Linked DNA regions of Macaca mulatta. The protein of the gene in region 2 purifies or fractionates together with the protein of the main gene of each other region. This does not show direct contact. Links are inferred from orthologs where the notes say so. Each region holds a gene or a part of one and is shown on either strand. Other genes may lie near its edges.

Region 1 (4,419 bases), on a different chromosome or scaffold from region 2:
CATATGGGAGGAGGGGGCAGATGCCCGGCCCTTCCTCCCCAGACTTGAAGGTGGGGGGTAGGTTGGTTGTTCAGAGTCTTCCCAATAAAGATGAGTTTTTGAGCCTCGGGAGTTTCGTCTATTCTGCGCTTGGGAAACGCCCTAGTTCCTTACGTAGCAAAGAAAGCCTCCTGGCTGGGGGCTCAGGCCTGTCATCCCAGCACTTTGGGAGGCCAAGGCGGGAGGATCGCTTGAGCTCACGAGTTTGAGATCAGCCTGGGCAACAAGACGAAACCTAGTCTCTACAAAAAATACTAAAATTAGCCGGGCATGGTGGCGCATGCCTGTAGTCCCAGCTACTCGGGAGGCTGAGGTGGGAGAATCGCTTGAACCCAGGAGGCAAAGGTTGCAGTGAGCCTAGATCGCGCCACTCTAGCCTGGGCGACAAAGACAGACTCCGTCTCAGAAAAAAAAATAAAATAAAAAAGATAAAAAGATGGCTGTAACATTCTAGTTTATGCCCTGAAAAGGGGAATATAGTCATTCTATAGTGTTTGGAGATTTTGGGTTACCCTTAATTGTATGCAAGTTGTCTTACTGTGTATTGTCCCTTAATTTCAGGACTCAGATTTCATGCTTGAAGAAATGCAGGTTAGTTTAAACTTTCAAGGAAATTTTTTTTTTTTTTTGAGATGGAGTCTGGCTCTGTCGCCCAGGCTGGAGTGCAGTGGCTGGATCTCAGCTCACTGCAAGCTCCGCCTCCCGGGTTTACGCCATTCTCCTGCCTCAGCCTCCCGAGTAGCTGGGACTACAGGCGCCCGCCACCTCGCCCAGCTAGTTTTTTTGTATTTTTTAGTAGAGACGGGGTTTCACCGTGTTTGCCAGGATGGTCTCGATCTCCTGACCTCGTGATCCACCCGTCTCGGCCTCCCAAAGTGCTGGGATTACAGGCTTGAGCCACCGCGCCCGGCCTTAAGGAAATTTTTAAGGTGGCAAAAGGTTTTAGTGGCATATACATCTTAATCTCTAGATGGGAGTGATTAGCTGTTTAAAAGTTGAAATGTGACTGAAAAGGAAATGGAGTAGGGCAAATTTTAAATGGGATTATTTTTCATCTTCAAACAGGCAGACCTGTTATCCTAAACTAGGGTTTTTAATGACCACAGCAAGCAAGCATGCAGCTTACCGCTTGAAAGACAGGGTCTTTCCTCACCCAAGCTGGAGTGCAGTGGCCCTCTGAAGCTTACTACAGCCTCAGACGTCTGGGCTCAAGTGATCCTCAGCCTCCCAATGGTCTTTGTAGACAGCCTGATGGAGTCTCATGGCACAAGAAGATTAAAACAGTGTCTCCAATTTTAATAAATTTTTGCAATCCAAAAAAAATAATAAATAAAAATAAAAATAAATAAATAAAATTAAAAAAGATAAAAAGATAAAGCATCCAAGCTCTTCCCTTCTCGGTTCTACCGCTTCTTCCTCTGACCCCGCCCCTCTCAACCCTAGGACCCGCCCCTCACGTCGGCGGAACTGCGCTGTGCAGAGCTCCACCACGCTCCGCCCCCTCTCCCTAGCGCGGCCTTTCATTTCCGCTTCCTGTGCGGGCAGCGCGCGAGCGCAGCTTTGGGAGGCGGAGACCAGCCGGTGAGTGCAGGCGGCGGGCTCGACCTCCCGGTTTTCGGGCAGGCGTCAGCCCAGCTTCTCCCTTTCCTTAGGCTTTTCCCATACTGCTGTAGGCTTCTGCTGCGTCCCGGCCCCGAGGATCGCTCGTCCCTCACCCCATTCGGCCTGACGGGCCTCAGGCCGCGCCCGTGCCCCGGCTGTGGGCCAGAAGTTGCCGCGTCGGACTCGGCCTTCGGCCAACAGCTTATCACAGTCCCCGCCCCCATGTCAAAAAAAAAACCCAAAAAAACAATCCAGCCCAAATCCTCAGGCCGCGACGCGATCCACAAGCCCTGTCCAAACCTTCGGTCTCCTCCCTTTCCCACAAGCCCTGCCCCCAAGCTCAGCCCACGCCCTCCCGTCAGCCAACTCCGCCTCTCTCAAGCTCTACCCTCTTTTTCCTTGGGTACTCTCCACACCCTGCCATCTAGATCCCATCTTTAGACCTCAACTTCACTCTGGTCTCCTTGCAACACTCTCTTCCCGTGTTCCTACTCCCTCTAGCATCTTCATTTTCCGCCACGCCCTTCACCTGTCCTCGACCTCCACCTTCATGCAACTGCACTGTTCCCTTAAAGGCTTTCTCCGATTTCCTCCACCTGCCTTCATCCTTACCTTCCTTATCCCTCTAGCACCCAGACTCATACCCACGCATGGCCCCTAGTGGGAGCCTTTTCAGCTCTTCTCTTTCCCTTGAGCTCCAGCCTTAGGTGCTCAGGGTTTGCCGTCTGACCCTACTTCAAACTACTGACCCTACTGATGTTTCAAAACTTTCATCCCCGACTCCAGCGCATGGAATGTAGGACACCCCTTTCCCAGGGATGCTCACCTCAGAATCACCTAAGGGTTTTTTAGAATGCCCAAGTTGCCAGATCGAAGTTGTTAGGGATGGACTTGAACATCTGGCATACCGTTCTGCAGCTTCACTTCTGCTCCCTGAAGCTAAGCGATGTGTTGTTTGGGATCGACTCTGTCACCAACTTGTTAGATGACTTTGATTCTGCCCATATGGTTTTCACAGCCCATCTGCCTTTCCTGGTCCCTTCATCCCTCAGGTTGAGGCCCCAGGCTCGGCCTCACCACAATGTGGCACGAGGCTCGGAAGCATGAGCGGAAACTTCGAGGCATGATGGTCGACTACAAGAAGAGGGCGGAGCGGAGACGGGAGTATTATGAAAAGATCGTGAGTAACTGGCCTTTCGTCTGGGGTGGGGGACCCTAGTTTGGGGGACACAGGTCATCCTGGTAAAATCTGGGCTTGGAAGTATGTCAAGACAAGAGGCTTATTTCCTCAGGAGTATATTCATTAATCTTTTCTTGAGCATAATCATTGTTAGGATCCCAAGAGCTTCTGTTTGTTGTAACATACTGTGTCGTTTGGTGTGGCCTCCCAGTGCCGATCTGGTGTTAGCAAGAAAAAGGGAAGTCTCTGTAATCCTCAGAGCAGTCCTGACGTTAGACTGGCCACCTCCAGAACGTTGTCTGTTTTGCTTGTTGCTGGGTTCCCCATTCCCAGAAGAGCTCAGCCACTCTTGAGGTTTGGCTTGGCACACAATAGGAGTGAGTATTAAGTTGGCTGGGCACGGTGGCTCACACCTGTAATCCCAGCACTTTGGGAGGCCGAGGTGGGCAGATCACCTGAGGTCACGAGTTCGAGACCAGCCTGGCAAAAATGGTGAAATCCCGTCTCTACTAAAGATACATAAATTAGCCAGGCTTAGTGGTGTGTGCATGTAGTCCTAGCTACTCGGGAGGCTGAGGCACGAGAATTGCTTAGCCTGGGAGGGGGAAGCTGCAGTGCACGGAGATGGCCCCACTGCACTCCAGCCTGGGTGACAGAGCTAGATTCTGTCTCAAAAAAAAGGAAAAAAAAAAAAGGAGTGAATATTAAGTGAAACCTGACCACTTCCCTCTCCTGTTTGATGCTTCAGTTGTTTTGGGGGGAAGACCAAACTATCCCTGGCCTAAAAGACCCTTGTGGTCTGACCACTGAGCTTCATCCTTGGACAGCTCCACTGGCCTTCTATTTCTGCCACCACGGGGCTTTGGCCTGTATTACCCCCTCCTCACCTGTTTAACTCCTCTGTCTCCTTGGGATCCCAGCTTGAAATGGCACCTGTTTACTAGGTTCAGTTTTCCTGTCAGATGACATTTATATAGACATTTTCCATTTGCTCCTGTATTACTGCCCCAGCCTCCTCTCTGGTCCGCTGGCCTCCAGTCCTGGCTCCTCCAGTCTATCCTCCCTAGAAGAGTCCAAGAGGCCTTTCTAAAGCGCAAAACTGACCCTGTCCCTTTCTTGCTCACAGCACCTCTATGGCTTCTAAGTACCCTTGAGAGAAAGCCTAGGCTCCTCACTGTGGCCTTTAGGGTCCTGCATGGCCTGGTCTTTGCCCCTCCTCCAGACTCACACCACCCCACACTCTGCCTTGTTCCTTTGCACAAGTCATTTTGGCCTCCTTGCTATTCCTCCACTGACCCAAGCACTCCCCAGCCACAGGACCTTTGTATGAGCTCTTCCCATACCTGGTTAACTACTGCTCATCTGTCAGATCTCAGTCCTCAGAGCAGTCTTGTTTCCCGAGCTCAGTCAGGTGTCCTCTAAAGATGCCGTAATCGTAGCTCCCTTTCCTTCCCCTTTGTGGAATTTAACACACTTAAGATACACATACATGGGCCTGGTGTGGAGGCTCATGCCTGTAATCCCAGCATTTTGGAAGGCCGAGGTGGGTGGATCACCTCAGGTCAAGAGTTTGAGACCAGCCTGGGCTAACATGGTGA
Region 2 (2,695 bases):
AAAGCTGCCTGTAACCCACACTTTTCATACTGCAGCTAGTACAGTTTGTGAAATATAACTTCAAGATTTACAAATTAATGTCCTAGGATCTTAGATTTTACAACAAATGCGTAGACATGAATGGTGTTTGATTTGGGTTGGCCTCAAGTTTGCAAATTTTACGAAAGATCCCAGGTTGAAATGAGAGTGGCTTGCTTCAGCCTTTGGAAAAGAAAACACTCTGGGCAAAGTGAGCCCACTCCACTTACTTAAAGAAACTTAGAACTAATGTGAATGAACTATTAATTAACCTCTATTTACATCCACCAGGCTTACTTGAAATATGCCTTGGTCATATGTGCATGTAATGATTACTGCCTAGCGGGGAAAAGCTGGTGTCCTTTGTTGTTGCCGTGTAAGTGTTGAGCAGGTGGTTGTCCGCTTCATTGAAAAGAGCCTGACTGGACCAACAATGGGGAATGCAGATTTGGAGCTTTCTTGACATTGGCCTGTTTTTCCCCCTATAGGAGAACTGCGACACATCACCAAGCTGAAGCCCTGGAGCCTCTTTGATGTACTTGTGGAAAAGTATGGCTGGCCCCATGAAGATGCTGCACAGTTTACAGATTTCCTGATCCCGATGTTAGAAATGGTTCCAGAAAAACGAGCCTCAGCTGGCGAATGCCTTCGGCATCCTTGGTTGAATTCTTAGCAAATTCTACCAATATTGCATTCTGAGCTAGCAAATGTTCCCAGTACATTGGACCTAAACGGTGACTCTCATTCTTTAACAGGATTACAAGTGAGCTGGCTTCATCCTCAGACCTTTATTTTGCTTTGAGGTACTGTTGTTTGACATTTTGCTTTTTGTGCACTGTGATCCTGGGGAAGGGTAGTCTTTCGTCTTCAGCTAAGTAGTTTACTGACCATTTTCTTCTGGAAACAATAACATGTCTCTAAGCATTGTTTCTTGTGTTGTGTGACATTCAAATGTCCTTTTTTTGAATGAAAAATACTTTCCCTTTGTGTTTTGGCAGGTTTTGTAACTATTTATGAAGAAATATTTTAGCTGAGTACTATATAATTTACAATCTTAAGAAATTATCAAGTTGGAACCAAGAAATAGCAAGGAAATGTACAATTTTATCTTCTGGCAAAGGGACATCATTCCTGTATTATAGTGTATGTAAATGCACCCTGTAAATGTTACTTTCCATTAAATATGGGAGGGGGACTCAAATTTCAGAAAAGCTACCAAGTCTTGAGTGCTTTGTAGCCTATGTTGCATGTAGCAGACTTTAACTGCTCCAAGGAGTTGTACAAACTTTTCATTCCATAACAGTCTTTTCACATTGGATTTTAAACAAAGTGGCTCTGGGTTGTAAGATGTCATTCTCTATATGGCACTTTAAAGGAAGAAAATATATGCTTCTCATTCTAAAATATGCATTATAATTTAGCAGTCCCATTTGTATTTTTGCATATTTTTAAAAGTACTTTTAAAGAAGAGCAATTTCCCTTTAAAAATGTGATGGCTCAGTACCATGTCATGTTGCCTCCTCTGGGCGCTGTAAGTTAAGCTCTACATAGATTAAATTGGAAAAGAGAAACGTGTTCATTGTGTGGAATGAAAAAATACGTATATTTTTTGAAAAGCATGATCATGCTTGTCTAGAACACAAGGTGTGGTATATACAATTTGCAGTGCAGTGGGCAGAATACTCCTCACAGCTCAAAGGTAACAGTGATCACATTCATTCCATAGGTAGCTTTACGTGTGGCTACAACAAATTTTACTAGCTTTTTCATTGTCTTTCCATAAAATGAAGTTGAGAAAATGATTTTCCCTTTGCAGGTTGCACACAGTTTTGTTTATGCATTTCCTTAAAATTAATTGTAGACTCCAGGACACAAACCATAGTAGGCAATACAATTTTAGAATGTAATATATAGAGGTATATTTAGCCTCTTTTAGACGTCAGTGGATTGAATGTCTTTTTATTTTAAATTTTACATTCATTAAGGTGCCTCGTTTTTGACTTTGTCCATTAACATTTATCCATATGCCTTTGCAATAACTAGATTGTGAAAAGCTAACAAGTGTTGTAACAATAATCCATTGTTTGAGGTGCTTGCAGTTGTCTTAAAAATTAAAGTGTTTCGGTTTTTTTTTTTCCAGACATTGCCTTGGTCATTGCCCTATAAATGATAGAATCAGTGAACATTTGCTATCAGAGTAGTGTCACTAAAACTAAATACCAGCATTCCTGTTGCAGCAGATGTAGTTGTAAAACATGCATTAAGGCTTATTATAAGGAAATCATTTATTATTTTTTAAGGGCAGAAGGGATTTAGGAGAAAAGCTATAGTATAGATTGATTCTTTAGAATTTCAGTGATCTCTTTTCATCCATGGTTCATCAAAAACATACTGACTGCATTTGTTCGATCATTGCAAACTTAAAACAGCATTTGCTGTTAGGAAACAAGACACATAACCCTCTTAGGAATTACCATTACATCTCATACCACAGTGAGGCAGAATGGATCATTCATTCATTTCTTTATGAAATGTGCATGCTAAGTTTTTCTAATGAGGCTGTAGGTTTCCATGTAAATTCTGTGATAGATAGTGGCTGTAGACTGGTGATACTATCCATGATTTCTGTAAGAAACATCCTTACAAGAACCATAGAGCACAATTTATTTCTTCCCTA

What was found. The genes of interacting proteins can lie anywhere in the genome.
Region 1: the proteins of SRPK2 (region 2) and CLASRP purify together in Homo sapiens (affinity purification with mass spectrometry; 3 studies listed by BioGRID and IntAct, with this or other methods). This does not show direct contact. The link is inferred for Macaca mulatta from reciprocal best matches to the Homo sapiens genes SRPK2 and CLASRP.

Annotation. Positions count from the first base shown.
Region 1 is NC_133424.1:57,552,966-57,557,384, forward strand, and holds the start of CLASRP (CLK4-associating serine/arginine rich protein), read left to right. Parts: upstream 1-1,561; 5' UTR 1,562-1,620; intron 1,621-2,659; 5' UTR 2,660-2,722; coding exon 2,723-2,821; intron 2,822-4,419. UniProt on the Homo sapiens protein: Probably functions as an alternative splicing regulator. May regulate the mRNA splicing of genes such as CLK1. May act by regulating members of the CLK kinase family.
Region 2 is NC_133408.1:144,699,806-144,702,500, reverse strand, and holds the end of SRPK2 (SRSF protein kinase 2), read left to right. Parts: intron 1-506; coding exon 507-691; 3' UTR 692-2,157; downstream 2,158-2,695. UniProt on the Homo sapiens protein: Serine/arginine-rich protein-specific kinase which specifically phosphorylates its substrates at serine residues located in regions rich in arginine/serine dipeptides, known as RS domains and is involved in the phosphorylation of SR splicing factors and the regulation of splicing.